2 linked regions of the Ovis aries genome follow. The protein of the gene in region 2 interacts with the protein of the main gene of each other region in a pairwise test. Links are inferred from orthologs where the notes say so. Each region holds a gene or a part of one and is shown on either strand. Other genes may lie near its edges.

Region 1 (3,500 bases), on a different chromosome or scaffold from region 2:
TATACTTATCTGGGAAGTCCTAGCTCACTCTGCAGAAGCAGCCAATGATCAAGACTTCTAGGTGGGACCTAGACCATCTTTGCAGGATGCTTTTTTCATGTAACAGTACACCTTGGAGGACTTCCTACTCAGGACAAATAAGCTCTTATTTTTTTCTAATACTGGTGATTATGCCTTATAGGATATTCTGCAGCATACATAAACAGTCTTCTGTTGAGAATAAATTTAACTGTCATCACCAGTGCTGCAGCAGAGGAGCTCATATAGACCTCCTGCTGCACATGTGCAGAATAAACTCTAGAACTGGGATCTCTGCATTACATTGATCATCTGCGGACATTCTGCATTTGCCTGCTTGGGGTTGTAGATATGCAGCCTCTCCAGCACTGTGTAGGAAGACCTGTCCTACACATCCTTGGCCGCCCTGTGAGGTATCCACTGTTTGGATTCTGCCAAACCATATACATCTAAGGGTGGATATCAGGCTAGAATTGGGGAGACTGTGAGCTCTGGAGCAGCCTCTCTGCTTTGTCTTTATCCCAGCTGTATATGTTGCTAGGGGCTCTGCCTCAGACTCATCTTCCTTCCCACATCCTTCCCCTAGCTTGTGCCTGGATTGAGGTGTACTTGTTCTGTGGTTTCAGAACCGGGTTTCTCCTTTCAAGGATATGATCTTCTGCTTCTCAGAAGAGGACTGGTCCCTTCTAGACCCTGCCCAGACTGGCTTCTACGGAGAGTTCATCATTGGAGAAGACTGTGGGGTCTCACTGCCTCCAAGTAAGACTTCACTCAGCTCTCTCCTGAGACCTGGGACCTGGGGGTCCACATATCACCTCACTGTCCACCCCCATACCCTAATGGGAGGCACCTGTGCACAGTGGTGTCAAGGCCACTCTGCAGATTAACCATTGCTTGGTGCTATCACATGAAAGTTAGGCTTGTTACCTGACTGTTTTACATACACAACCAAATATAACTTGTATCCCTTGCATTTACTCTTCTTCTATCATTCTTATTCTGACTCTTTTCATTGCTGGTTTTCTGATAGGACTGAAAGAGTTATCCCAAGCCCACAACTTCCCCTTTAGTGTCCCCTCCCCTGCCCTCTCCCTGCTTGCTCTGGTCCTTCCACTTCCCCTGCATGGCCCCTGTTGGTGTTCTTGGTGTGTTGTGTTTCCCTCCAACTTCTCTCTCCTCTACCTGTCTCAGAGTCACCACTGTCCTCCCACCCTGGTTTCCTGTGGGAGCAGAGGCCTGATGAATGCATATCCTTCCCTTTTCTGTGAATAGACGATGCGGCTGCCCAGCTGGATCTCTCCCAGGGAGAAGAGAATGAGCCACGTGTTCCAGAGTTGCAGGACTTCCAGGGGAAGGACATGTCCCAGGTCTCCTACTTGGGTGAGGAATGATACCAGAACTCAGTGGAAGGAAAGGCTGCTGCCAGCCAGAGGCAGGCCTGTTCCTTCTTCCACTCTCTGAGCCCTCTGTCACCCCTGGACCATGTCTTGGTAGAATGAATCCTGCCTCATCCCTCATTCCTTATGGAAAGAATGTGGTATTTCAATTTTCCCAGGTGTGGGGATTGCCTTTTTTCAACCAGGAACTAGGATATAATAGGAATATCTTTCTCCTCCGCTGTAAGTAACACCTGGCTTGTGGTAACAACGCAATTACCCCTTTGTAAGTGAGGTCAGATACTCTCCAAAAGTCAGGTGGGAGAAGAGGAGGGCATGCCACCTCTTGGCTGGGCACTGGGCGCAGTGCCTCTGGATGCCTCACCTGTCTTCTTCCAGCCACATACTGCAGGAAGTATAAGGAAACTGAGGCTTGGGGAGGTGCTGGGGTTTGGTTGACATGCCACAGCTTAAAAGCAGCATTTCCCACCCGCCTACCCCCACCCCCAGCCTTCCATGTCACCAGAGCTTATGTTTGTAACCACTGTGCTTTAATGCCGTAAGATGCCTGCTTCTTCAGGGGAAAAGCTTTGTACCATGCCAGCAGTACTCCCAGGCCTCCTTTCTCTTGGGACTTTGAGCTGGCACCCAGCAGATTCCACTCGCCACCCCCACCTGGAGCAAGCAGCCAGGGCCTCTGGTATGCCCAGTTTCCCATCCCATCTCTGCCCCAGCAGACTGTCCAGACTGTGTTCATGCAGTGTCTGCGTGAGTACTGGAAATCCCACCATAGAAAGTGAAAGGGACAGCATGGATGGCAGTTCTTGTCCACAGTCAAGCGGATGGGGCAGAACCCAGATCCACGTTCATGCTGTCTAGCTTCACAGCCCATGTTCATGGTGTTGGCCCATTTTGCCTGCATATTCATTTGCTCATCACACATTAATTTACTGAGTGACTGCCCTGAGAGAGAGCCCAGGCCTGCTCTTGGATCATAGCCTGGCATCTCTTAAGAACCCTCTTCCAGGTAGTGCTGCAGCAGCAGGAAAAATGAATTTTTCATTTTCTTCTCTGGAAAGACTTTCCAAGTCTCCAGCCATTCCAGGTAGAAGAAAGAAGAAAGCGGGATGAGCTGCAGGTGCCAGAGTTCCAGACAAGCCAGCAGACAGCGCTCCCTCAAAGCACCTGCCCAGGTAAAGGAATTCTTAGGAGGGTGTGGGGGTGGGTGCATCTGTGTGTGATGTGTGGCTTGAGTATGTATGTGTGCAGTATGTGAGTGCATGTAGCATGGGGGTATGATGTGTACATGTGCATCTGTGTGTGTGTGTGCATGAATGTGGTAATGGCGTGTATGCTGTATGTGTGTGTCGTATGTTTGGTGTATTGTGTGTGGATGTGTACATGTGTAGGGTGTATGGCATGTGTTGTACGCATGTGAGCATGCCTGCTGGCAGTTATGTATGGTACCTATATGTTTATATAATGTCTGCTGTGTTGTGTGTGTGGAATTATGCATGTGGTATATGTGCATGCGTGTGTGCTGTATACGTATATACGTCTGTGTTGGTGGTGGGGGGGGTGATGTAGGTTCAGGAATTGAACTTTCTGAAATTTCTGCTGACAGTTCCTGAGAGTTCCTGAGGCTGCTCGCCCTAGTTTTGTTTTTCTAGGATCTTTTCCAGCTGACTCCCAATCTGAGGCCCTCCCCTCCATGCCTTTCTCTTGAGGGTTGGTTGAGGCAGGGTGCTGACATAGTGCTTTTGGACACATGGTCTGTGTATTTCGTCTCTGAGCATAAAGACCAGAGTCCCTGGACAGTGTTGCAATTAAAGAACAGGTTAGCAGAACGCTAAAAGGAGGACCACTGGAGAGTGTGCCCGGCAACATTTAGACTCTGAGTCTCCAGTCCTCACTTAAATCCACTGTGTCACAGAGGGTTTTTTGCAAATACAGTGACTCATGCACAGTTTGATACCTTTTGGAGGCAAGATTTGCGTGATATTCTGGTATTTCCACCTAGTATCATGCAGAGTTCACAGTCATTTGTATTCACCCCGTATCCTGTGTAGACTAAAGGAATTTTCTGTTTTTGTAAATCTACAGCAG
Region 2 (3,939 bases):
GTGCCTGCCCTCTGGCTCTCCAGCCTCCCTGCAAGTTTGCTGAGGCCCTGGGCACTTTCCCTGAGGATCTCTGTTACCCTTGAAACCAGAGGCAGGGGAGAGGTGGTTGGGGTCCCCACCATTCCCTGGCCTTTTGCTCCATGCAGCACACGCAGTCCCAGGGCCATCCAGGGGTCCTCAGCTTCCTTCTGTGCGGCCAGAACCTGGGGTGGGGCAGCTGAGGGTGACTGGTGAGCCAAGAGGCAGCTCCCTTCCTGGGCCTGCATCTGCGGCACTCAGTGGTGAAGCAGGTGAGGCTTAGGTAACCTGCCACCCCTCAGGGGACCAGCAAGGCTCTGGCCAGGATCGGCCTGGTGGGTGCGGGGTCGACAGTTCTGTGGGTGATGGGTTGTGTCCCTGCAGGAGTGGGGGCTCCTGGAGCCGTCCCAGAAGGAGCTGAACTGGGATGCGATGCTGGAGAAGTACGGCACGGTGGTGTCCCTGGGTGAGGCCCCCTCTCCTTCTCTGGGCCCTTGGGCGCACCTTGCCTCCCAGCGCTTCCCAAGGGCCCCCCGTCCCCTTATTCGTGCGAACCCCTCACCTGATGGGCCCCCTACCTCAAGCAGGGTTGACGCACCCCCTGCCTGAGTCGCGCACCGAGTTGCAGCCGGAGGGGCTGAGCTCCGGATCCGGATCCGAGGGTCGGAGAAGCCTCCGCCCAGGTGAGTGACCTCTCAAGGTCCCTTGGTGGGGGTAGGCGTGCAGGTGCGGGTAGGGCAGGGGCGGGGGTGGAGGATGGGGGCGGGCGGGGCGCCCAGGCGGCCCCGGCTGGACAGTGCTGGGTCCCCAGGTGACCTGGCCTCCTCTGCTCCCCAGGAGATGAGAGCGAGGGCCGGCCCGGCGGCCCCGAGGCCCCGCCGCCGCCGCCGCCGCCGCCGAGGAGCAAGCCCTACACGTGCACTCAGTGTGGCGGGGCCTTCGACTGGAAGTCGGTGTTCGTCATCCACCGCCGCGCGCATGCCGGCGGCCCGTGCGCAGAGAAGCCGCCGGCCGGCCCGCCCCCGCGCGCGCTCCCGGGCCCACGCGGCTACGCCTGTGAGGAGTGCGGCCACAGCTTCAGCTGGAAGTCGCAGCTGGTTATCCATCGCAAGGGCCACGCCAGCCAGCGGCGCCACCTCTGCGCCGACTGCGGCCACAGCTTCGACTGGAAGTCCCAGCTGGTCATCCACCGCAAGAGCCACCGGCCCGAGGCCCCTTGAGTGCAGGAAGGGTGGCCTCCCCATCCCTGCGCCGGTACGGCCTGGAGACCTGGAGGCCGCCCAGGACCCTGGAGCAGGTCAGAGTCCCAGGGGATCCCCCGGCCCCCCTCAGTCTCCCCCCGGAGCCAATGCTCCCCGTCTCCTGCCTCCCCCACCGCAGCTTTCTGAGAGGCTTGGGCTCCAGGCCTCCGCCAGCCCAGTGCCGCCAGGGGACTTGCAAGCTCCCACCGGTGACCTAGTGCAGGCTCCCCCGACCTCTGGGACCACTTGGCTTGGTGACCAGGCCTCTCCCACTCCTCCTGCAGAAGCTGGGCCCGAGGTCTGAGTGTGGACGGGCCAGGAAGCCCAGGAGAGCATGGCCCGCTTCTGTCTGCAGCCAGCTGCAAAGCTGACGTTTAGCCACTGTGCGTTTTAGAGTTTTAACAGATTCTAGTTTTAAACTGGAGACATTTCTGCAGAAGAATCCTGGTGTCTAGTCTCTGCTGGTTGGATCAGAGCACCTGCCCTCCCGCCCAGCCCCTAGAGCTGCCGAGCACCTGACCCCCGAGCGGGACCAGCGTCCAGCCCACCTGCTCCTTGGCCGCACACCCCACTGCTGGCTTTGTTGTCCCTGCCTGAGTGGACGTGAAGGGAACGTCTCTCCAAGGATTTCTGGACAAGGATGGGCTCTGAGAACAGATGTCACTTAGGCCTGTAGGCCGGCGGCTCAGGGCTGTGTCCCCACAGCCTGCACAGTGGGTCACCCCCGGCGGCCTGTTTGGGTCGTGGGCAGTCGTTCAGGTCTTGGCCAGCGTCCTGTGGTGCTTTGCTACTGCTGCGATGGCTGGAGACAACACGTGTACCCTCTTGGGACTCTGGATTGCGTCTCCCTGGGCCCAGTCACGGTGTCAGCAGGACTGGCTCCTCCCGAAGTCTCTAAGGGGGAACCCACTGCAAGAGCTTTTCTGGCTTGTGGAGGCCACTGCGCCCCTGGGTTTGTGACCCTTCGCTCCATCGGCAATGCTCGCCGTGGATGGTGCGGTCCCACACTGCCTACTTGTCAGGCCCTCGGGGCTGCGTCCAGAGTCCCCAGTAACCGTGGTGATCCTCGTCTCAGGACCACACAGCTTCCCCATCCACCCACCCTGCTGCTCTCATCTGCACAAGCCCTTTGCGTGTGAGGTGACATTCACAGCTCCAGGTGTTAGGACGTGGACGTCTTGGGGGCTGTTAACTCGGTGCACTTCGGGGCTCCATTCTGCTCTAAAACAAGCATTTTGTGGGAGGTGATTTCAGGGAAACAGATGCGCCCAAGGATTGAGCCCCCTGCAGACTCGGGCACATGCAGGGGTTGCAGGAGGGTGTTGAGTGCTGCAGTAACCATCGTTACTGGGCAAGGTGGAGGACACCTGGATGGGGGTGGGGGGCTTACTGCAGCCTGAAACCGGGAGGGAGAAGCCTTCACCCCAGGGACCCACCTCCTCCATGCCCAGCCTTCTGGGGCCTTTGAGCTGTTGCCCATACTCAGGCCTGGGGAAGCACGGCCAGGCTGAAGGTGGAACTGAGCACCGGGGATCTTGTTACCGCATCCAGGCTTGTATCGTTCACTGCATGACAGGCTGATGAACTGAGAGCCTGAGTGGTTAGGGCAAGGAGTTGCGCCTGTATTCAAAAAGCCAGCAAACTGAGACGATAGGAGACTTGTGCCCCAAAGAACCGTCTCGTCTGTGTTAAAATCCAGGCTGCTCTTACACTGAAAGGGGATAGAGTCAGGTGAGACATTTCCTGGTTCAGAGGGGATGTGTTCATTTCCTCCTCCCTGTAGACATTCACAGGTAGGTGTGGTCAGGAGGTCTCCTGTGAGCTAAATGAAGGAATTCTAGCTTAAATGCTCACTACCTGTGAGTCAGGGCTCCCAGAGTTGGGCTATTATGTATAATTTAAGCTTAGAAGCAGCATTCCTCTAGTGACTGACTCAGGTGACAGAATTCAAAGGTTCTTCCTCATTATAACACAGTCTGGCTGGCAGCCAGAGGTGAGGTCTGTGCTGGGGTCACAGAGGAAGGTGCCAGGGCAGGGCCCAGTCACACACAGATGGTGAGGGGCGGGTGGGGGTGGATGGGCAGCATTCTTGGGAGAGTTTCCTTATTTGAAAGTAGTTTCTGCTCACTTAGAAAAGTCTGAAATATACCAGAGGACAAAGAAGGTCACGAAAACGGTCACTGATGCCGCTGTTTTTCTCGTGTTCACACAGGGTGGGGTTTTACAGCGGGAGAGGCCCCTGCGCGTTGTTCTGAGCCGCGCCCTTCCCGCCCACCTCCCTGCGCTGCTAAAAATGGGACGTGTCATGATGCCTAGGTGGAGATTCCACTTCCCGGGTTTCTGCCAGGCCCTGACGGTTCCTTGTCCGCCTCCCTCGCGGCTCCCGGTGCCATGAGGACACACCTGAGCAGACCCTCTGGGAGCAACCTGCGTGTTTCCTCAAACAGACTCCCGCAGAGTGGGAGTGGCGAGTTTTCTCGAGCGTCAGATTTCTGTTCATGTTATTTTCTTTTTCTTCTTGTTTTAAGAAACAAAACAGATTACAGTTCTGAGGTCAGGAGGCAGGCATAGGTCCTGCAGGCCTGCTTTCCTTCTCTGGTCTCTGGGAGAACCATCGCTACACTTTTCCACCCTAGAGGCGGCCTGTGTGTCGCGCTCACCGCCCTTCCCCAAACCTAGG

Evidence for each region.
Region 1: the proteins of ZNF446 (region 2) and ZNF496 interact in binary tests that used the Homo sapiens proteins (3 or more experiments, as listed by UniProt). The two-hybrid records come from large-scale screens. The link is inferred for Ovis aries from reciprocal best matches to the Homo sapiens genes ZNF446 and ZNF496.

What each region holds. Positions count from the first base shown.
Region 1 is NC_056058.1:38,331,988-38,335,487, reverse strand, and holds part of ZNF496 (zinc finger protein 496), read left to right. Parts: intron 1-644; coding exon 645-777; intron 778-1,290; coding exon 1,291-1,398; intron 1,399-2,473; coding exon 2,474-2,587; intron 2,588-3,500. UniProt on the Homo sapiens protein: DNA-binding transcription factor that can both act as an activator and a repressor.
Region 2 is NC_056067.1:66,377,356-66,381,294, forward strand, and holds the end of ZNF446 (zinc finger protein 446), read left to right. Parts: intron 1-402; coding exon 403-484; intron 485-605; coding exon 606-701; intron 702-855; coding exon 856-1,238; 3' UTR 1,239-3,439; downstream 3,440-3,939. UniProt on the Homo sapiens protein: May be involved in transcriptional regulation.